Lonchura striata: one gene and its partners. Each later gene encodes a partner of the first gene's protein in a complex. Links are inferred from orthologs where the notes say so. Each region holds a gene or a part of one and is shown on either strand. Other genes may lie near its edges.

Region 1 (7,390 bases):
TGGGCTCTAGAACAGTAATGGGGACTCATTTTTCTTACATATCTTGGGTCCTTGAGGGCATATTTACTCTGCCAGCACCATGCAAAAACCCAAGACCGCCTGTCCAGGACACGCTCAAGTTTATTCCAGGAACAAGTAACCACAGAGTGGAGGAAGAAAGGAAGAGCAATATGCCTTTTAATGAACTTGACTGCAACATCAAACGGCACCTTGTCCATCACTTCCAGAGAGACAACAGGTCACCAGCTGTTGGTAAATACAGCGTGCCAGATGTTTATTCCAAACACAGCTTTTGTGATGGGAATGTGGGTGAAGTGCGTGAGGGACAGCACAGAAATGGAACAGAAAAGCTGTTCCTTTCTTCTCATGCTCCAGCCATAAATAAATGACATGGCTACTCTTTTTTTTTTTTTTTTTTCTCATTATACCACAGAGGTCTAGCACAGGGCAGAGGAGAAGTGCTAAACGCACATCTCCTGCTGCAATTCAAGAGCTCATTTGCCTTGGCAAACCAGGAGCAGGGCCTGTGCGTGCACAGAGGCAGCACGGGGGGAGCAGGGCACAGGGCAGGGGGAGCGGGGCACGGGGAGCAGGGCACGGGGCACGGGGAGCAGGGCACGGGGAGCAGGGCACGGGGCAGGGGGAGTGGGGCACGGGGAGCAGGGCACGGGGCACGGGGAGCAGGGCACGGGGAGCAGGGCACGGGGAGCAGGGCACGGGGCAGGGGGAGTGGGGCACGGGGAGCAGGGCACGGGGCACGGGGAGCAGGGCACGGGGAGCAGGGCACGGGGAGCAGGGCACGGGGCACGGGGAGCAGGGCACGGGGCAGGGGGAGTGGGGCACGGGGAGCAGGGCACGGGGCACGGGGAGCAGGCTGTGCCCAGCGGAGGGGCTGGCAGGGGGTACTCACGGAGGCAAAGGTGCCAATCTGTTTGATGTTCTGCTCGTAGCTCTGCGAGCTGGTGGGCCGCCCGGGGGTGCGCCGCGAGTACCAGAAGGTGTAGTTGTACTGCAAGGGGTGCTCAGCTGGCCCCGGCACCACAGCCTGCAGGACACAAAAGCTTGTTTACCCCTCGCATGCTCCTCTAAAAAGGGAAAAATTGCATTTACAGCATATAAAAGCAACCATTCGAGCCATCAGAGGTATCGTGGATGAATTCTTTTTAGTCCTGTGCCTGTCTCAAAGGGAAAAAAAAAAAACAACTAAAAAGGAAATGTGAGACCTTGAACTTTTTCAAATTAAGGGAAAAAAAAAAAGACACTTTCCTCCTCTGGGAATGATAAACCCCACTTACAATGAATCATGATTCAAATGCAATTAAACTCTTTGATGACACCAATTGCCTGAAGGAACCAACACCCCAGTGCTCTGGGAAGATTAACCTAAGAACTTGTTATGTCAGCTTTGGCAGAACCCATCACCAGCAGCGGGCAGCAATCACTTTTTAATTTCCAAAACACTGATTTCTGATTAAAAATACTTCTAATGAGCACAAAAGAGGCTAATGAGAGCTCATCAGCCAGGAGTCAAAACTTACAAAGAATACCCCAATCAAAGCTCTTATTTGTACTACTTGATATTGTTACAGGAGTTCGCAGGGCTTAAATCTCTACTTTCCTCTTGACTTCGGCAAGTTTACAAGGGTTGCATTACTTCAGACAGAGAAATTTTCCTGAACAAGATATAAAAATAAACCAAACCAGGGGAGATATATACACAATGCTTTCTTCACCAGGCTACCTTACACACAGGGACACATCTTAAAAGGTGTTTCAAGAGTGTCACAAACACTGCCTGCTAAACCACCTTCAAGGTACTACTGTCCTGTCAGACATGAGTCCTTTCCCCACATCCTCTTCAAAATTTGTTTTTGGATGAAAATAAAGCCTCATTACTCATTTCCATTAAAAAGCCTGACAGGGTACCACTATGTTAGTGATGGGAGCACTCACCCCTCAGATGAGAGACCTCCAAAAGTGACATCAAATTACCAAAATCAAACGTAGTGCTGCTGTCTTCACTGCAGCAGTAGCAACGTACTGATATCACAGCCCCCCAAGACATATTTTCCCTTATCCCTGAGCTGAGCATTGACTCCCCAGCACTCCCATACCATGCCCTGGCAGTGGAGTGCAGATGCCAGCACCATACCTTCCTCTTGGTAGTACTCTGTGGTTTCTCACGATCGTTCTTTTCCTTCTCACTGTCTTTCTGTGTGTTATTTTCCTCATTCTGGTCATGGTCTCCACTATCATCATCTTTCAATCTGGTAAAGAAAAATAACAAAGAGAGCCATCACACAGCTGAGAAGGTCCATACCAAGCCCAGGTAGTTCTCTGCTCCAAAGCTCCTCCGTGGTACAAGGGCCACCACAGTTTGGATATCTACACTTGACAACGTACACAGTAAAAACTACTTCTTCTTTCATGCCCATCACAGGCATCTTGGGCAAGCACTTTTAAGCTGACGTGAACAACGAAACAGCTTTTTGGAACAAACTCAAGTGGTTTGTGCTGGATACTGATCTGCCACAGGAAACCCCGGTTACTTGTTCAAGTTCCCTGCTATTCAGGGGGCCCACACGAAGACCTCTCACCGTACCTCTGCCGAGTCTTACCCACCCCGCTCCCCACGGCCCCCAGCACTGCACAGGCAGCGCCTCGGACGAGCAGACACCGCGCCAGCACCCAGCACCCCACAGATCTCTCCGCCCGCCCCATTCCCTGCCAAGGGCCGGAAAAAAGCGAGACAAGCAGAGCCACAAAGCGGTCCGCAACTCCGCGGTGCAGGCCTGCCAGCGGCCCACCGCCCACACCTCCCGGTCCCGCGTCCCCTCGGGGCCAGGCCGGGCCCCGGCTGCAGGTTCGGGGCTGTGCGCAGCCCCGTGACTCATCGCGTCTCGCCCGCCCGACGCCGGGGCAGCGGCGGGAGGCGCCGGCGGGGCTCGGGGCGGTGCAGGGCCCGCACCGGGGGCCGCTCGGGGGGCTCGGGGGCGACACTCACGCGTCGAATTTGTTGTTCATCGTCGCTCGCTGCCGCCGCCACCCCCGTCCGCCTCAGCGACTTCCGCCCTGCTGAGTCCGCCCGCGAAACTCTTCCGCCGCTTCCGGCGGCTCCGCCACCACCGCCCGCGTTTCCCCCCGGAGCCGTAACGCGGCGCACGGCGGGCGGGGGCGGGAGCGCCCCTCAGGGCGCGGCCGCCATCTTGGGTGTGGCGTGAGGGGCGGGCTGGGGAGAGAGTTCAACTTATCCGTGCAATTAATTGTGCTCCCGTAAATACAGTTTGAGGACTCAGACAGTTACTCTTCTAAGAATTTTCCCACCTTGCCTCCTGTGGCAACAGGAAACCCCAGCTCGACTCCCTCCCCATTGATGTTTCCTTCATGTGCAGTGAGGGATGGCACAGAAAATGGGAAAAAGTCCCAGTAATGAGTCTGCAAGCTCCTGAAGTGATAATAGACAGTTCATAGCGGATAAAGGCAATAGTCCCTCTTTCAGCATCTCCTTGCACTTCACGAATCTGTTCCCACGTTACTCCGAGTACAGAATTTTCACAGTGCTTTGCAAATCTCTGAAATTTGCAAATTTCTGCTATCTGGCAGAGTTAGTAAATAGAGTTCTGAGTGCTGTAGCTTCTGTTTCTATATCAATTTGTGATGTGGAAAGAGTAAAAATTCATTGCCTATGTAATCTAGGTACTCATGCTAAGCAAGCAAAGGAACAACCCCGTATTATATCCACAGTATTATAACTTGGTGTAACTCAGTCTACTTAAAACTTATTTATGCTGAACAACTAATATCTCTCATAAGTCTGTGGATCAGGAGCATTAAAAAAAAATGGTATGTATAACCATATGTAAAGCACTGCATATCCTCTATCCTATAGTGTGTTAGTGTATTAATTCTTGTAAAGCAATGTAACACTGCTATTCCTGCCTTACTATCTGAAAGCAAAGGCAATGAGTGTCTCAGCAATATTCCTGAAATCCCAGGAGTATGGCAGGACAGGGAAAGGGCCCCCCAAGCCCTAGGCTAAATATTCTTACCATGGGCCTTCCCATCCGGTTGTCTTAAGGGCTCAGACGTGTGTTCATAACCTTAGAAGTCACGGAAGATTATTTAGAAATATTTAGTAGCAGAAACAGTTCAAACACTCATACAGAATTTCCTGGTTGGTAACAAAAGGGATCCCCAAATGGGATCTGTGTGCTCTGAAGACCAGCAGTTTACCAAAATATTTCAGAAATAATGTGTTACACAAATCGCTATGGAGACCTGTTCATAAAGAGATCCTTTTCATAAAAATTGCCAAGATATCAATCACTCTCTTAAAATTGCCCAATACAAGTGCCAAGTAATTATTACAGGGTGAGAAACAGGGTCACACTCTGTTATTTCCTACCTAATAGCTTATTTAGAAATTATTAGGCACTCCTAAAGAGCACCAAAGGATACAGTAATTACAGTTATCAAACTTAAAACAGAAAGAACACCACTAAACCCCACAGAAGTGAAGGCTTCACACTGATCAAAACCCCCAGCTTGGATTCTGATCTTCCCGCAAAACCACATAGGTCTTATTGGGAAGATGACCTACATCAGGTTGGATAGGGATTTAAAGTATTCCGCTAATACAATAAATTGCATATACATTCCTGAAATTTCTGTGGGTTTTATGTTTCATTTGTACCAGTTTAAAGGAAACCAAAGTTTATTATATTAATACTTTTATACACTGACCTAGCTTGAAATCCTGTATGGAAAAATGGTAAAAGTAACATCTCTGCAACAAGAGAGGCAAACTCAGTACAGATTTGTTCATATTATAGCACATAGATAACATCCAGCATCCTATGCCCAGTGAAGAGTTCCTCATGAGCTGTTCAAACTCACCTTTGGGTAGTTTTGCAGCCTGGGAAAAAATGTAAACATAGGTGTGATGCCTGACTTTGGTTTGTCTAAGGGTTGTACCCAAAGCTTAGTGGCATTAAGAGACCTCGGTGACAGGGAAGCCTTGCAGTGTGGTGTACTGGGTCCCCACAAACCCTGGGTTCACTCATGCTGCTGTAACACACAGTCTCTTGGTAAAGCTGCTTTTGCATATGGCAGGGCTGTTCAGTCCTTATATACAATTCCACAGGATGGGCAAATGACAGCATCTGACACCTCTCGGAGTCATTCTGAATTTAAAAAAAAAGGGCTAATAATGAGCATTCAAGAATTGTTGATGTGCAGACTCTGTGCAGAACTTGAAATTCCTAAGCCATCTTACAGTGGAGGATCAGGGTAGCTGAATCATGAGCCATGAGCAAGGACACAACACACGTGCAGCTACACACATTTCCCACCTTGGATTTCCAGCTACACCATCATGAAGTGCTCAGCATAAAGTGAAGGTGGTGTCTGAGCCCGCTCTGAAGAGATCTGTGGTCACTGCACTCCGAATGTAGAGAGCGTGCCATCCTCTGCCTGCAGATAGGAGACAGGCAGTGAGATTTAAGGCATAGCAAATTCCCAGCAACAGATCTGTTTTTCATCACAGGCCCATACAGAGTTGGTGGAGCTGGTAAGGCAGCAGCCTTGTTGTTCTGTTAAAAAATATGATCTTGCTGAAAAGGAAGACAGCGCACAGTAAGTTTTCTTTCAGCCTAGAGTGGAACAGCATCACTCTCTTTATGTTTTAGGTTGAATTCAAAGAAAGAAATAGCTCAGCCATCTCTCAGGAAAAAAAGGAGGAGAGGAAGCAGGAGTGCTGCTGGAAATACTTTAACTAGAAGCATTTGAAATATGTAGCATCTGCCTAAGAGACAATTACTTGTTAGCTTTAACATCTCATTCAGGCATGCAGCATTGAAGTCCTGTGGCTGTGCAGTCACCCAGCTCTTCTGGTGGTGCCTGATCTCAGCCTTAGTAAGAGCTCATCGATCCTGCAGGTGTGTCTCTGCCAGCAGCCTTCTCATCAGCAAAGTTCCCGAGGGCCTCAGCAGTGATGGGGAAGTGTCCTGGGGCTGCACCTGGAAATACAAGCAGGGGAATGCCAGGAACATCTTGGCTTCACAGAACACTTACAGGCTGAATGTTCACAGCTGAACTGTGCCTAACCATTGCAACGATCCACAACTGTCACTTGTCTGACTGTAGGAAATGCATGACAACTTAATTATTTTAAAAATTATCTTGCAAGGAAGTGTGTCAAAGATGACCATTATCATACATTTCTCGATTGCCTGCTTTCCACTGGTAGTTCAGTTTCAGTTCTGGCAGATTTAAATTACCTTAAATACAATTTTTCTTAAGTTTTCTAAGTGAAGTCTTTCCCAAATGACCTGTTCCTTCCTAAATTTTAAGTCAACACTTGTCTGTAATTCTCAAAGCCACATTCATGTCAGCTTGTCCTGTTTATTCTGGATGGTTCTTACAGCCCAGTCTAACACAGGAAATCAGGGTTATTAAAAAGCCCTCCAAGGCATAAGGTAAGAGGAAAAACCTGATTCTGGCCCCATGGCAAATTTGATGCTGCATATTATATATGTAAAGTCAGGCTAGTCTCTGTGAAGAGAGCTGTTACAGGACATTCAAGGGTCTGTAGGCAGACTAAGCCAGGAATAGTTGCAGAGGAATCATTATTGAGAAGGAAGAGGAGCACAGCAGTGAGTGCTGGCTGCAACAGAGCTCAGTGTTCATTTTAGAGCTCTTCTTCCTCTCTGTGCCTTGGCAAAGAACAACCACTCCATGCCATAGCTCACTGAGGAATCCTGCCAGGTGTTGATACAATCACAGGGAAGCCCTTGCTCACCTGAGGCCAGGAGATGCCATGGAATTCTGCCATGACCTGGGATCCTTTGAGCAGCCTCTGGCACATGACAGCCTCTGTAGTGAAGCAATATCCAAAAAGCACATCCATTTGATGGCAGAAGGGAGTGGAACACAAAGAAACATGACTACAAACAAAGCAAGCTGAAAATTAACTTCTTTTGTAGGCTCTGGCCCTTTGCTACACTGACTCTTGATTTGCATGGGATTACACAAATAGCCAAGACTGCAGAAATCAATAAACACACTGGGGGATTGTTCTTCCAGAAACTTTTGAATGAGTCGGGGCAAGACTTCATCCTACAGGAAAGTGCAGAATCAGCACAATTTGGGAACCTCTTATCTGTCACTTTCTCACACAAAGGGTTAGCAGGAGATCAATGAGTCAGGTGTGATCTTCTAGGCTCCAGTGTGAAAGCATCAGCTGTGTAAACCTCTCATACTGTGGAAACTGCAACTTCCAGCAGAAAAAGCAGGGCTGGAAATGAGGAGAATGAGTCTATGTAATGAGCACATACAGATCTATATTTCCCCTTTTCCTCTGACAAAGAGCTCAGCAAACTTCATCCCAAAC
Region 2 (7,262 bases), on another chromosome or scaffold:
AAAACCAAGGATGCATCCAAGATCCAAAATTTTGGCAAAAAATATATCAATGTGATTTTTAACATGGTATTAAAGGACAGTCAAGAACATGTGATTTTAATTTTTTCTTAGTTTATCATCCCTCTTCCTCACTACACAAAATAGCTATCACTTAATTTTTCTTGTAAAATGACCGGTGCCTCACTGTTTGATAACCTATAAACAGGAAATGGAAGGTAGGGGCTTGGGATCCACATCTCACAGCTGAGTCATAAGACAAGAGTGGAGACCAGAATGGGAGTCACATCTGCAGACAGCACATCTTTTTCTGAGACCATTATCCAAAATAAAAGCTTTAAATGAAAAACAACAAGAGTTTTAAGTGCAAATCCTACTGGAAAAGAGAATCACAGAATAGGAAGAATCTGCTGTTATATGGTGAAGCAGGGGTAGTTCATCCTAAAGGTAGGAGTTTGGAAAAGTATCTTAATCCTAGATACATCAATTCATAATTGATTAACAAATCACATGTCTGAGCTCTACAAAAATAACATAGGAAAGCGCTGAGTTTGTTTGGATGCATGCACACTTATTACTTTTTATGATGTGAGACAAAATATTGCTGGCTCAGCTATACATGCTAAATGCTAAAACATTTAACCAAGTGAACTAGGGGTAAAATTGAGATGCGGGGAAAATGAGACATGAGTATGGTATGTTTGTTATGAAGAAGGAGAAAGCCAAATCTTGTTTTACTGAAGGGAGGAAAAGCCAGGGAGGGAGGGAAGGGAAAATCACCAGCATCACCCTCCTTTTAAAGGCTCAAGGACTCCTAGTACAAGTCTATTGCTCATCTGATGTCATGGAGTGAAACCTGGTTTGAAGTTTCACCTGGAATGCATAACCTCTCATCTCAGCACCTGTAACTATGAGCAGTGAAACTAGTTGTCTCCTGCATTTTACCCTTATTGTTCTTTACACAATGCACCTTTATTCTTTACTCAAAAAACCTGCCTGGCCCTAGAGAACAATTTGACCCTGAGTAATTTGAATGTATTATCTGCACTGCTGCAGGTATTAACTGGGTGAGAGGGGAAAGTGAAGAGGACCTGCATTCTGGGGGACAGAAATGGGATGAGGCTGTCTCCGTGATGTGTGTTTTCAGCTTGCAATGGTTCTGGGATTTCTGCTGTTAGTGAGAATTTTCTCCCTAGCATGCACAAGCATGTATCTCTCCTGCAATAGCAGAAACAAGCCCAGTATTTGGGGAAAATTTTAGATGCATGAAGACTACAAACAATAGTGGCTGTACACAAAGCCATCATGGATATACCACCAAACCAAAATTGTCTTTTTTTTTGTGTGAAATACCAGTTATTTTTCTTGACCTCCTAAAAAGATAAATATTTTAATAAGTCACCAGAAGCTGAAGTAATATCAAAATTCAAGGCTTATATTTCACGTTCTTCACATGTTCCAGTTTTAATCAGGGTTTCAGTTATTTTCACAATATTTACATTTAATATCATTTTTTTTTATTCACCTTCACACATTTTTCAGTTTCTAAATATGCATTTCTACAACTGTTATACTAGACTTCTAAAAAGTTTACTCCTTTGTTACATTAGCTCAGGAGAAATTAATACTAGAGATGACTGAACAAAAGTATGTCAGTTCTTAAACATGAGATTCTTATATTTGTATGTTTTCTTAATTTTGAGATAATAACTCTTTGCTTGAAGTGGGCTTATGGAAATCCATTGGACCTGGAATTCAAATGATATGTGTTGAACTCTCAACATAAATGGGTGGCATTCATACAATTTTATTTTCAAATTCAGAATTTGTGAAATTAGCAAATACTCTACAGTGAATAGAGTTGATTTAATGTACACAAATATAAACAAACCCAGACATTTTACAGAAAGCCTAGTGCTGCATTACAAGTCAGATAGTTTCCCTCGAGCAGCTGATGCAAGTAAATGGTGTACATGTGTTACACTCATTGCTCTAAATTTGTATTTGCACTTTGATTTAACTTTAATGTTTGGTTTTCCTAAATGAAATATAAGCCAAGTAACCCCACAATTCCACTAGAAATTTCTGACCACTTTTTTCCCAACAAACTTCTCATGATCCCAAAACATCTATTCATTTTTGATAATCATTAAAGCACACTGAAATAAATTTTCACTATTAGAGCATGGCTGAATTTAGCTGTACATCATTAATTGCACTGCTTAAGAGCGAAGTCAGTAAAGCATTCACTTAGTTTTGTGCTTTTTGCCATGAAACCTACTTCCTAAAGCCAAGAGCTGAGCGGAATTTATGTCTCAGCAGATCAGCGTGTTTCTCTGCTGCCATCTTCTGGCACAATAGACAGTTCTACAGTTTCCCAATCGCTTGTGAATAGTTTTTTCTCTTGAACACCATCAGTATATGTTTTTGTTCCATTTTGGCATAATATAATTTATCTATAAGTTTTGCAATGTTCTGTCTCTTAGGCACTTGTAAGTTTTCCACCTGAAAAAGATTTTAGGAGATTTGCAAATATAAAGATTAGTATTATAAAACAAATGCCCTTTGTATTACTCAACATTGTATTTCTACAAAAGATACTACATATATTGTTACATTTAGCTGTTTAATAAATGTTTTTGCCAATATTTATGCTGTTCATTCAGACAACAAATGAACTATCCAGATCTAGGCCTAATTCTGTCTTTAAGTTCTTACTTACTACACCTTCCCATTTTAATAATAGATTAAAATACTTGCATTATTTTCTAAGCTCCTCCATTTGTGGAGAAATAGCCCAGTGACATTCTCTCAACCATCCTTCACCACTAGATAACGACATATTTGAAAGCTATATAAAACATCCTTTTTTTTTTTTTTTTTTTTCTGAACATTTGTCTCATAGCACTTAAGTTCATGGAGGATAAGGTGCCCCAATACCCACCTGGGAACATTTTACACACTCTAAACTCCCCAATCACTGCTGCAGATGAAGAGAAGGCAGCTACTTCAGGAGGCAGAAGGGGTGTTGGGTCCTCTGCTGGCAGCAGAAGTCCATGGCAAGACCTGACCCATGATTTACGCTTTTCTAAGGATGTTATGCCAGGATTTCCTGAAAACACAGAACCTGGTAATGAACATCTTGCTTAAACTGAATGAGTTCACTGGTAGTATGCCTAAGATTACCAAACACACAAAAGACCTTGGGACTGGCCACTCTGGGAGTCCACAGCCACCATGAGGTTGTGCTGCAAGATAGTAACCTTCCTAAATGAAAATATAATTGTTATTATAACCTGAGAACAAGAGGAAAGAAGAGAAAGATGATTGCAGAGCAAAAGCCATGCCCGAATATCACATCTTTTCCTTAGAGGCATCTGTAGCTTCCAAGCCACTGAGCTGAGGCTTCCCTGGGGACAGCTGCAGATGCTCCTGCAGTTCAAGTCTGACAAAACCACCTCAGAATCTCTTCTACATATTTTTCGTCCTCCCGTGGGAAACCAGACAGTGGTCAACACGATTTTTTTATTTCAGTTTAGTCTCTTTCACAAAGAGGACTCCCAATTACTGATCCATCCTTGACTGAACCTCTGTGTCAGGGGGAAAGGTAGCCAGGTACACCCTGGGCTCTGGAGTGAGTCCAGAGAAGGGCAAAGGAGCTGGGGAAGGGTCTGGAGCACAAGTGTGATGAGGAGCAGCTGAGGGAGCTGGGGCTGTTTAGAGAAAAGGAGGCTCAGGGGAGACCTCATCGCTCCCTACAACATCCTGACTGGAGGGTGTTGCCAGGTGGGAATCCACCTCTTGCCCCAGGCAACAACTGTGAGAAGTGGACCGTCTTCAGCTACGTCGTGGGAGGTTTATGCTGGACATTAGGAGGTATTTCTCCGCAGAAAGGGTGATTCGACACTGGAACTGGCTGCCCAGGGGGGTGTTGGAGTCACCGTCCCTGGCGGTGTTCAAGCAAAGCCTGGACATGGCACTTAGCGCCATGAATGAAATCTGACAACATGGCGTTCGGTCACAGCTCTGATCTCGGGGATCTTTTCCAACTGAATTGATTCTATGATTCTTCCCGCGACAGCGAGCAGGGCGCGGACAGCCGGGGCCGCAGGGCGGCCGCTCGCCCCGCCGGGCCGTGCCGGGCCGGTTGCATCAGCCGCGGCCCACCGGCGCCTGCGCCAGCCGCGCCCGCCCCTTCCCGCGCGGCTCCGCGGCCATGGCGGGCGCTGACAGCCAGGTGGGCTCCGCGCCGCCCTCGGCAGAGGGCAGCCGGGCCTCTTCCCCTGCGCCTCCCCAGCTCCTGGGGGCGGTGGGGTGTGCCCCACGGAACCAGGGAGCTGGGGGGGACGAGGAGGTCGGGTCTTTCCCGTCTTTTCCGGGTCTTTTCCGGGTCTTTTCCGTGGGGCAGGGAGGAGTTAAAGCACCTTAGGTATGAGGGACTGCCGGGGCATGACTTAAAGGGTGCTCGCCCTTCGCAGGTGGTCGCTGGGGAAGAGAAGAAAGCTGACTGCGGGAAGAAGAAGATGAAGGAAGGGGCTGGCGATGGAGGGCGGTCGGAGGTAAGCAGCCCCTGGGCCGCGGCGGTGGGAGGATGCGGAGTCCTCGTTGCTGCCCTGTGCGCTGCTGGCTCTGCTGCGGCTCGTCCTTCTGAAGTATTTTATCGCGCGTTACAGTAACACCCCGACAGCGTGCCTTGTAACGCCATTGCTGGTGTTTGCATTAAGTTGCGTCGGTGTAATAGGAGAACAGCTCAGATTCCCATAGCTGGGTTAGGTTTATGCTTTTCCCTGTGCCTCTCTGCAGTGGAAAGCAGGCAGCATATCGCCAAGGTGAAGAAAGCTTTCTTAAGGCGGTTTCGTTTTTCTCTTCGCGGTGGGTAAACACAGATCCCTTTGAGTCCACGGAGGGCCAGCTGCTAGCGCTTGCTCCTGGGCCAAGTGCATGGCTGTGCCCGGACGGATGGTCCTGACGTCATTACACGTGTTTAAACTGGAGTCAGTTCCTGTCCGGATGGCTCAGACTAGAGTGTTCCCTCAGCTTTTTGACCTAATAAGAAAAGTCTTGCTTTATGTCGAACTGACACAGTTTTCCTAGTTAACTTTTGTCCATGTGTAGTTTATTTGATGGTGTAGTTGTTTGGTAAGGTGGTTTATTGAACAGGTGTATGGTAGTACAGATTTCATTAAGCTGAACTGTGTGGTATGACATAGTTAGTACTATATAACCTGAAATAATGGTGATTATCTGTGTTACATATAGCACACAGATATCATCACGTAGTTGCTTATGAAAACTATATCTGTTGTATTGGCATTCTTGATATGATGTCTGTCATGTTAATATCTGATTAGTCATTTTCCTTTGTCTTTATTATGTACAGCTAAATCCTTGGCCTGCATTTATCAATGAGCGTTTGGAGATGTACAATAAACTAAAGGCTGAACATGACGCACTCCTTGCAGAAAGAGCTGCAAATGACAGTAAAACCATTAAAGTTACGTTACCCGATGGCAAGCAGGTTGATGCTGAATCTTGGAAGACTACTCCTTATCAAATTGCATGTGGAATTAGGTATGTTTCTGTTCTGTGATGCTACACAATCATTTTCAGACAGTTGAGTTTAAGGGGCTGGGTATTGTATAGTTTCTTTGTTATGTATCTCAAGTCTTCTCATAGCATCTTGGATGATGAACTGAAGGTAAACACCAGGGTTTTAGTTTTGGAGTGCAGTTTTCTTTTGCCTTATGCAGTTTCTAACATTAAATAAGAATAAAGCATTCTAACAGTGTATTTTTACATCCAAGTACTGCTGTTGCATTGAGAACTAATTTGCTAATAGATGGAATGTTAGCATTGCAAACCAATTTGCATTGACCTGAGGAAGATGACTGCTGAGTGATGTTTCAATTGACTACAGAAAAGTTTAACAATATGAGTATTCGTCACTTTAGTTTGCATGGGAGATATTTTTGAATCATTCACAGTGAACACCCTGACAGTTAACATTACAAAGATTGGGTGATTCCTAAAAGTGAAATGCCTCTCTTTTTCTTCTTTTTTTTTTTTTTTTTGTTTCCTGTCCATAATAAGGTGCCATATCATTGGAACCTCCTTTGTTTCTCTGATTTGGGATCATGAAAAGAGTATTTTGCCTAGTGGATATAAACAGTAAAGCTACTATGTCAAAAATGGTATTTGGTAGCTTTTAAGAGAGTGGTACTCTCTTATATTGCAACAGGACTGGGAAGTTAGGTTTGTACTTGGAGGATGCTGCCTCTAAGTCAAATGTGTGTGATAGTTAAGTATATAGCACAATTTGCTTCCTATATCCCTAAAATATAAGTAGGATTTTTCATCAATGTTCAGGACTGGCTAAACCGGTCATTTATTTTGAATTTATTATATCCACTCTGATGAGCACTCTAAAATCTTATTCAAACTGGAGGGCAAATCTGGGGAGCTTCTGCTTGCTGATTTCAAAATACCATGTACTTTCTTATAATTGTACTTCTGTGTTTGTTCTGTAGTCAGGGATTAGCTGATAACACAGTTATTGCCAAAGTGAACAAGGTGGTTTGGGATCTAGACCGTCCTTTGGAGGAGGACTGTTCCTTGGAGCTGCTGAAGTTTGAAGATGAAGAGGCTCAAGCAGTGAGTATCTTTTGCCAAAATGTTTTTTGTTCCAAGTTTACATTTGACTTACCTTCTTGCAGTTATTTAAATATTTAGTATGTTCACAAGATGAAGAAAAAGGGGTTTGTGGTTTAGGTACTTCTGCATTTTCTCACAGCTCCTTACTGGAAGAGTTGTGATACTAGAGATAATGTACATTCTGCTGTGTGTGACTTTTAGCAATGTCTGCTTGTGTTTGCTGTTAAAAATTTGTGTTTTCACCTGTCATGTTAATGTAAAGTAGGTATTTTTAACTGACGTCTTCAGCACTGATTTTGGGAACAAAACTGAGTACAAAAATACTTTCTATGTAGAATCATGAAAGTATTGAGTAGACTACTCTTTTTCCTTCTGTATGCAAAAGTATCTACTTTTTTATTTTGGCTACTCAATCAGATAAATGTGCCCAGCCAGTAAATTTAGGATTATGTTCTTTAGAAAAAAAATTAGTTTCTACAATAAACTGTCAGTCAAACTCATCACATAAGTCTTACATTCAAACTCAGGGTTTTTATATTGCTAAATGACAGCTCCCTATTTATGATTTCAATTTGTGCTAACTAAGGCAGACTGACTCTTAAAAAATTTGGTTC
Region 3 (6,974 bases), about 11 Mb from region 1:
TATGGGAAAAAAAAAAAAAAAAAAGGTCCAGAATTGAGAGCAAGAGACACAAGGAGAGGCTAAGCTGGGCTGGAAACTGACTTCGTTCCTGAAAGAGCAAACCCCATCCCCCTGCAGCATTTCACACACCTTGCATTTCAAATGTCACTCTATGAATTAATATAAATTGATGAGAAAACCACACAAAGCAAGAGTCTCTTTCAAGGCAAATGCTTCCTCAGTAAACAAAGAAAAAGGTTTCTCCTCACCAAGGCATCCAATGGCTCTCTAGCAAGCTCTGTAGGGAGAAAGCTCCCTTGCTTTGCCCCATGGCTTCATCTATAATCATGAATTATGTATAGTTTATCTCCACTAATATTTGAGCAGAAGCACTGAAGGGGAAAAAACTAATAAAAAAATAAAAATTAAGAAAAAACTGCTAGGAAATGGATTTTTTGTTTGCTAAATCAGATTATGAGAGAACTTAATACCATACTTCGAAGAGTCCGAGGGAAGAATTTTGAAGACCTCAATGAAAGAATAAGAAACATATATATGACAGTTACTTGAACTTGCAAGACCAGACAAAAGTAGGCAAAATCAAATTTCACATTCTTAGTAATCAAAATAAATAAACAGAGCTGGGGGGGAAAGGGGAAAGCACAGATCTTAGTGCACAGCTCATCTTCACCAGCTACTGTGAACCAGTGTTTTCTCTTCGAGGTTTAAAGAGAAAGATCTTTCAGCAGAGGGATGTACCAGCACAGCCTTCAGCCACTCAGCTGTCCCAACAACTTGTTCCATGGGACTCTTGACATCTAGGGTTGTTTTTATTTTAATGAAGTATATATAGAGCTTAAAAAACTGCTGGTGTTTTTTTTTTTTTACATCCAGGTATGAAGAACTCCAGTTTGTAGCAGAACTTCATTCAGACAACTGGCCTTAGCAGAGAGATACAGAGTGCTGCTTAGGTTCAATTCCTTAAAAAACCCAAAACCTACTTTGCATTCCCTTTTTACACAGCTTTCTTCCTAAACTGAATAGTAAAACAGGAAGGAAAAAATTAATTACAAAGCCCTCAACTGTCTACAAACTTTTTTTTTCACTTACATAATCACAGGGCTCATAGCTTTAGTTTAATGTATATTTTAGAAACAGAAGCAGAAATGCTAATAGGAGTACCTCAGGATATTTTACAATGCCAAGGTCAACACCTATTAAAAAAGAAACAGTCCAAGTTTTCATTGTGGTATCAAATTTTTTTTAAGCACCCTGTGAAACAAATAATTGCTTCTCCAAAAACACACTAAATTTTAGTTCTATGCTCCTGCTTTAAAACACAGGCTCAAGAAACCATTCAGAAAAAGGCCCCAAAAGAAATGCAGTGACCAGGTGTCCTCAGGCATATTCCTGTATCCGGGGGCTGGGAGAACCTGAGAAGCTCTTTAAGCCATTCAACCCCAGTATTTACCCACAATATTGTCAGACACTGAAACAGTTTATCAAAGTCTCAACATAAAAGGTGACATCCAACTTCCAGGACTAAAATTCTGCCTTCTCTTTAATCCAGCAGACTATTAGACAGAAACTTTATTTTTTTTTTAATCACACATTCATTCAGAAATTAACACCAACACACAACCACTGACATCAACTGACCTGTTGAACTACATGAACCTGGGGAGCAAAGCAGGTGCAGAAGGGGCCATGGACACTCAATATTTCTGCTGGCACCCCCAGGATTAATTAGGTCACACATTTTCACACCAGCATCAGCTAGCTGCTCATAGGATACCTATTCAAATGCATGGCAAGAAAACCAATACCTCATTGCAATAAAGCTCTTATTATCTACTGCAGTCACCACCCAATAACAAAACTTAAAAACACCAAAACAAAGCTTTTGTTGGCGACAACTGCAACCAATTTTGTTTACAAAGTTTTCCAATTATCACATTGTGTATCAACCAAATGCTCCATTCACATAACAGCAAATTAATTTTTGTTTATTGAAGAGTTTCTTAAGAACAAAAGCAACCAGCAGAGTCATAAGAAAAAAAATTCACACGTACTTTCCAGGAACTTGCCCAAGTCAGCTCCTGAAGCAAGAAAAATAAAACGTGCAGCAAGAAGTTAGAGGAATATAATCAGAATCCAAAAGTCCTTTCCCCACCCACCCAAGCAAACAGATATTCAAGAATTACAGTAAAAGCAGCACACCACAAACGTTGAACTGAATGTTACTAGGGGAAATGTGGATTTTTATTGCAGAAGCACTAGTGGGCAATACCTCTTTTGTGCCTACACCTTGTGTCAATTCAAAGTGCAATCATAGAGAACTGCAAGAGCCATAAGTGCTCTGTTGACACTGAAACTACTTGTCTTGGATCAATACCAAACGTACACAATTCTGATCGATGCTCTCTTCAGCCTGCCAAGGCTTCTCCAGTCAAACACTGCCGGTCACCGCTGCTCCCAGCACCCTGCTGCCTGCGCGGGGGAAGGCTCGGAGCTCCCTCCTTCCTCGGCCAGTGTAACCCGACAGGGCCGGGCGTGCTCGAAGCGGGGCTCACCGCGGCGCTCCCGCTGGGCTGGGAGGGGACGAGCGAGTTCACAAGGGTCAGTGCGAGGGGAGACGGCCCCGGAGGGCGGTGAGGAGCGGCCCCGCCGCCGCCTGACAAGTACCAAGGACCTGCACGGAGAGCTCAAGGCCTGCTCGCCCCAGCTCCAACGACCCCTGCAGAGGCCCATGGGGAGCGCGGGGGGGCCCTCCAGGCGCACCCCCCCACCCCCCTGGGCGGCCTCGCCTCCCGGTTAGGCCGCGGGGCGCCTCGGTGCTGCGGCAGCCGAGGCGGACGGGAGCCGCCGGCAGGGCCGGTGGTCAGACGGGGCGCGCGACGGCGGGGGCGTGGTGGGGACGGCCGGGGCAGCGGCGGGGCCGGGCGGCGGCGGGACGGCGTTACCTGCGCTCCCGGGCGGAGAGTCCCTCACAGCCGCGGCGGCTCCTCAACCCAACAACACAAGATGGCGGGTGCGCCGCCACGCAGCGTCACGTGAGGGCGAGGCCACGCCCCCCGGCCCCGCCGCGGGACCCGGATGAAGCAGAGGCGCTTCCCGCCCCCGTGTGACGTCATCCCGGAGAGGGGCGGGTCTGCAGCGCCCCCTGCCGGCCGCGCGGGCCCGCCGCGGCCCCCCCAGCCCTGAGGGAGATGGCAGGGCCGGGGGTCCCCGCGCCTCCCGCCCTGCCCGCAGCCCCGGTAATCGAACCGCTGCCTCAGTTCCCCTTGCACCCGGCACTGGTAAGGCCGCACCTTGAGTCCGCTCTCCAGATTTGGGCCTCTCAATTCCGGAAGGATATTAAGGGCTGGAGCACGTCCAGAGAAGGGAACGAAGCTGAGGAAGGGTCACCAGTCTGACGAGGAGCAGCTGAAGGAGCTGGGGGCGGGACTCAGCCTGAAGACAAGGAGGCTCAGGGGGGCCTCTCCTGCCCTCCACAACTCTCTGTGGGAGGAGGGTGCAGCCGGGGGCTGGGCTCTGCTCCCAGGGAACGGGGACAGGACAGGAGAACGTGGTCTCATGCTGCAGCAGGTGAGGTTTAGGTTAGACACTAGACAGAAATTATTCACAGAAGGGGTGATTAGACATTGGAAGGGGCTGTTAAGAGAGGTGGTGGAGTCCCTGTTTCAGGAGGTGCTCAATGAATACCTGGACTTGGCACCCTGGTCTGGGTGATAAGGTGGGGAGCAGTCTCAGGTTCAACTCGATTATCTCAGAGGTCTTTTTCAACCTGGATGATTCCGTGATTCTGCCACCTTCTCACACATACACACAGGCGGCCTCAGCAGCGCAGTGTGGCTCCCAGCCTTATCTGTTTCTTCTGTGTGGTTCCATGAGGCAATTCCATTTTATCGATGGCCACAACAATCTCTGTGAGAAGCCACCATGTGTGAGCACACAGTGCCCAGGCACCGAGGGCTAGACCTGCTCTTGCCCGGGCACTGGAGGAGCCCTGAGGACACTTTGCCGTGGGAGTCACCCTGGGAGGCAGTGGCAGCAGCTGCTGTTGCTGCTGAAAAGAGAAAGCGCATTAGATGATACATATTTTGACTCTTCTGATGGAAAAATCAGCAGCTCAAGGCAAACTTTCTTCAGCTAAAAATACCAGTTTATTTTTAGTCCCCAAACCCATATTAGTACATGAGGCAGAATAGCCCCATGTGGTTCCTTCAGCGTAAAAAACTATTCTTGGCTGTTACGCATTGCTGAAGGTATAACCGTTTTCAGCTGAAACAGTTTCACTCTAATCATGATGTCAGCCACAACCCATGTAGCTTTCTCCATCCTCTTCTAGGTGAATAAATACTTGTCATTGTGTACTGAATGATAGCCAAAAATGATGCAACAGTGAATACTACTGATTCTTATGAGCTAATGGGTTGAAAGCCTGTAATTCTTGGGGCTTATTTTTAGCTGAGAGCTACATAGGACTACCTCACCCAAAAAATCTAGAATGGAATTTCTCCATTAGGAGGCTGGTATGGAAAAGCAAAGCTCCCTAGAAAAGGGCTGGCCTCTGATAAGCTGCATTCAATCCCCCTGGTTGTTGTCACACAGTTTGAGCCAATACTAATAATGATAGAGAGAGACAGTGCTGCATTTCAAGCTGTCAGTGAGAACTTCCAATTTCATTGCAGAAGCAGCTGTGCCTTGTTATTCTACTTATCAAATGTGAGTTTGAGCACTCAAAAATATTTTCACATGCTCTAAGACAACTTTTATCTGAGATGGAAGATGTTTAGCACTTGTGGAAATTTTTTTAATCCCAGTTAGCACAAACATTATATTACTGAGACAAAAAAATTCAAATTCAAGAAGCATCTGAAACATTCCTAATCTGCAGAACTTGGCATTTCTGTAAAATACCTCTAAGGAAACTCAGATGACAATCTTTTGGTAATAGCAGATGCATCTTAAATCTTCCACAACTCATTCAAGCAAAACAGAGAGAATCTCATGAAAATTCAAGACTGTACCCGTGTGGTAAAATTCCTGACTGGCTCAATGACAGAATGTCAGCTGATATTGTGTAGGTGTGAAATCACCCCAGCAGCCAGTCTGGGTACCAAGGGCATAATGTACTTCAGAGCCCTGGATTACTGTGCCAATTCATTCACACTATTAAAAACCCAAGAACAGGGAAGCTGCCTCCCCAACAAACTACAAGCTTTCCTTACTAACCCCTTGTTTTCATCCATTCTGGCTTGGAGGCAAGAGCCCACCTCCCTCAGTACACTGGTCGAGTTATGAACACAGAACACAGCTTTGAAATGATAAATAATGATCACAAAGCAGCCCAGAAGAATGTGTCAGAGTCATGTTTCCCCTTGCCACTCCTGCATTTTGTTACTTGGAAAAGTGGTTCCCCTGCTTGTTGAAATAACCAGGGATTTTGTCTGGGAAGAGTCAATATGTTCTCAGCAGCCTCTGTTTTCCATGTCCTCATTTGTCACATCCCTAAAAATAATGAAAACAGCAGCAAAGCAGGCAAACATCCAACTGCAGTTTTTAAAGTCAGTCACTTCAATGCATTTGTCACCTCAGGTGGCTTGTACTGAAAGACAGAGTACCACAAACAAGCTGCTACTTCTGCAACACCCAATTACTTCTGAATGTCTTGGGTTTATTTGGACACTCGCATAAGGTTGAAGTGTTATTTTGTCACCTTAATCCTCACACATAAACCCCAAACCCTGTGCCAGGAAGAACTTGATCACACCATTTCTCTTTCTCTGCACTGTGACCACACTAAGCTCTTCAGGTGAGACTTCCTGCTGCCATAGGCTGTCCGCTGCAGCCAATGGCAATGACTGTGACAGGAGCATCCTTGAGAAATCCACTGCAATCTGAGCATCCAGACAGGCTGAACCCACCTTTGGTGCTGGCTGAAGTGCTAGTGACTCCTGTCTTGCATTTTGCCTACTCTGGGCAAACTAATGTTTTGTTAAACAAAATCCCATCAGAGATCAAGGACTACCTGAAGTTCCCATTCTAGATGAATGACTTGAGGCAAGTATTTATCCCTTCTGAGAAAGACCACCAAGTGCAACAAGTTTTTCATCAAGCTTCTCTACTTGCCGCCACCAACTTAAGAGTCACTTGTGGCATGTCAGAAATACCAGAGAGGCATTAATATACCAGCAGGCACCACTAAAGAGCTGGGATTGCCAGGACCTTTGAGAGCCACCTGTGGTGACTCAGGCATAAAAGAACAGAGCATCAAGGATGTAGTAGATAAATTACAGGTAAATACAACTAAGTGTTTTCACATGGTTTTAGGTGGGAGATACAGCTAGACAACTTCTCTTTAGTACTTCTACACAATCTAATGACACTGTTATCAAATCAAATAATTGCCAGTAAAACAGAACAATTTAGAAAGTGATTCATTTCCTAATGTCCATTTTTGCAAAGCTGATGTCAAAACGCACATTTCTGCAACTTCCAAATAAATGCACGTCCAAAAGCACTTATTGTTCATTGCACTGAATGCAGGTCCCAACTAGCAGCACCAGTTTGAATTGAACAAAACCATAGACAATGATAATTTCCTTACTGAAACTTGTCAGCTAGAGTTGACTTAATTCTATTAAAATAAAACCACTGAAAAGCCTTTTTTCACACTCTTCTCCTGCAGGTTTGGACTCCTTACCCAGCTGCATGTGCAAAGCAGCACAACTCAGCAGTGCTTGCTATGCTGTAAAGAAAAAAAAAAAAACAAAAAAACAAAAAAAAACCACCCCAAAATAAAAATCAAGAGCTGCAGTGTCACAATTTTCCTGGGGAAATAGAGACTAAGGAACCTTCACCCAGATATTACCTGACCTCTGAGACCTGAGGATTCATAGACACAGTGAATGTATTGGCATAGAGCAGAGATACATGGGATAAAATATTTATATTGATGAATATGAATATATATATTTATATTCATCTAT

Evidence for each region.
Region 2: the proteins of EIF4E2 (region 1) and TARS1 are in contact, whole or in part, in a crystal structure (PDB 5XLN), measured with the Homo sapiens proteins. The link is inferred for Lonchura striata from reciprocal best matches to the Homo sapiens genes EIF4E2 and TARS1. Residues at the interface, in NP_004837.1 of Homo sapiens: His54, Pro55, Leu56, Gln57, Val91, Glu92, Phe94, Trp95, Arg96, Glu149, Asn150, Leu153, Leu156, Gly157, Glu158, Gln159, Met161, Val203; in NP_001245366.1 of Homo sapiens: Pro51, Glu52, Tyr53, Ile54, Tyr55, Thr56, Arg57, Met60, Tyr61, Ile63, Leu64, Glu67.
Region 3: the proteins of EIF4E2 (region 1) and GIGYF2 are in contact, whole or in part, in a crystal structure (PDB 5NVM), measured with the Homo sapiens proteins. The link is inferred for Lonchura striata from reciprocal best matches to the Homo sapiens genes EIF4E2 and GIGYF2. Residues at the interface, in NP_004837.1 of Homo sapiens: His54, Pro55, Leu56, Gln57, Tyr64, Arg66, Asn81, Lys83, Gln84, Ile85, Gly86, Thr87, Val91, Glu92, Phe94, Trp95, Arg96, Phe97, Ser99, His100, Met101, Val102, Leu107, Phe113, Glu149, Asn150, Leu153, Leu156, Gly157, Glu158; in NP_001096616.1 of Homo sapiens: Leu38, Ala39, Asp40, Tyr41, Arg42, Tyr43, Gly44, Arg45, Met48, Leu49, Leu51, Phe52, Leu53, Asn56, Lys57, Ile58, Pro59, Asp61, Leu62, Asp64, Glu66, Phe67, Pro69, Ile70, Leu71, Gln72.

Annotation. Positions count from the first base shown.
Region 1 is NC_134612.1:18,512,733-18,520,122, forward strand, and holds the start of EIF4E2 (eukaryotic translation initiation factor 4E type 2), read right to left. Parts: upstream 3,089-7,390; 5' UTR 3,025-3,088; coding exon 3,005-3,024; intron 2,268-3,004; coding exon 2,153-2,267; intron 1,046-2,152; coding exon 911-1,045; intron 1-910. UniProt on the Homo sapiens protein: Recognizes and binds the 7-methylguanosine-containing mRNA cap during an early step in the initiation. Acts as a repressor of translation initiation.
Region 2 is NC_134642.1:38,636,728-38,643,989, reverse strand, and holds the start of TARS1 (threonine--tRNA ligase 1, cytoplasmic), read left to right. Parts: upstream 1-4,192; 5' UTR 4,193-4,213; coding exon 4,214-4,234; intron 4,235-4,475; coding exon 4,476-4,556; intron 4,557-5,377; coding exon 5,378-5,568; intron 5,569-6,524; coding exon 6,525-6,648; intron 6,649-7,262. UniProt on the Homo sapiens protein: Catalyzes the attachment of threonine to tRNA(Thr) in a two-step reaction: threonine is first activated by ATP to form Thr-AMP and then transferred to the acceptor end of tRNA(Thr).
Region 3 is NC_134612.1:7,096,063-7,103,036, reverse strand, and holds the start of GIGYF2 (GRB10-interacting GYF protein 2), read right to left. Parts: upstream 3,031-6,974; 5' UTR 2,943-3,030; intron 2,079-2,942; exon of another isoform or gene 2,052-2,078; intron 1-2,051. UniProt on the Homo sapiens protein: Key component of the 4EHP-GYF2 complex, a multiprotein complex that acts as a repressor of translation initiation. In the 4EHP-GYF2 complex, acts as a factor that bridges EIF4E2 to ZFP36/TTP, linking translation repression with mRNA decay.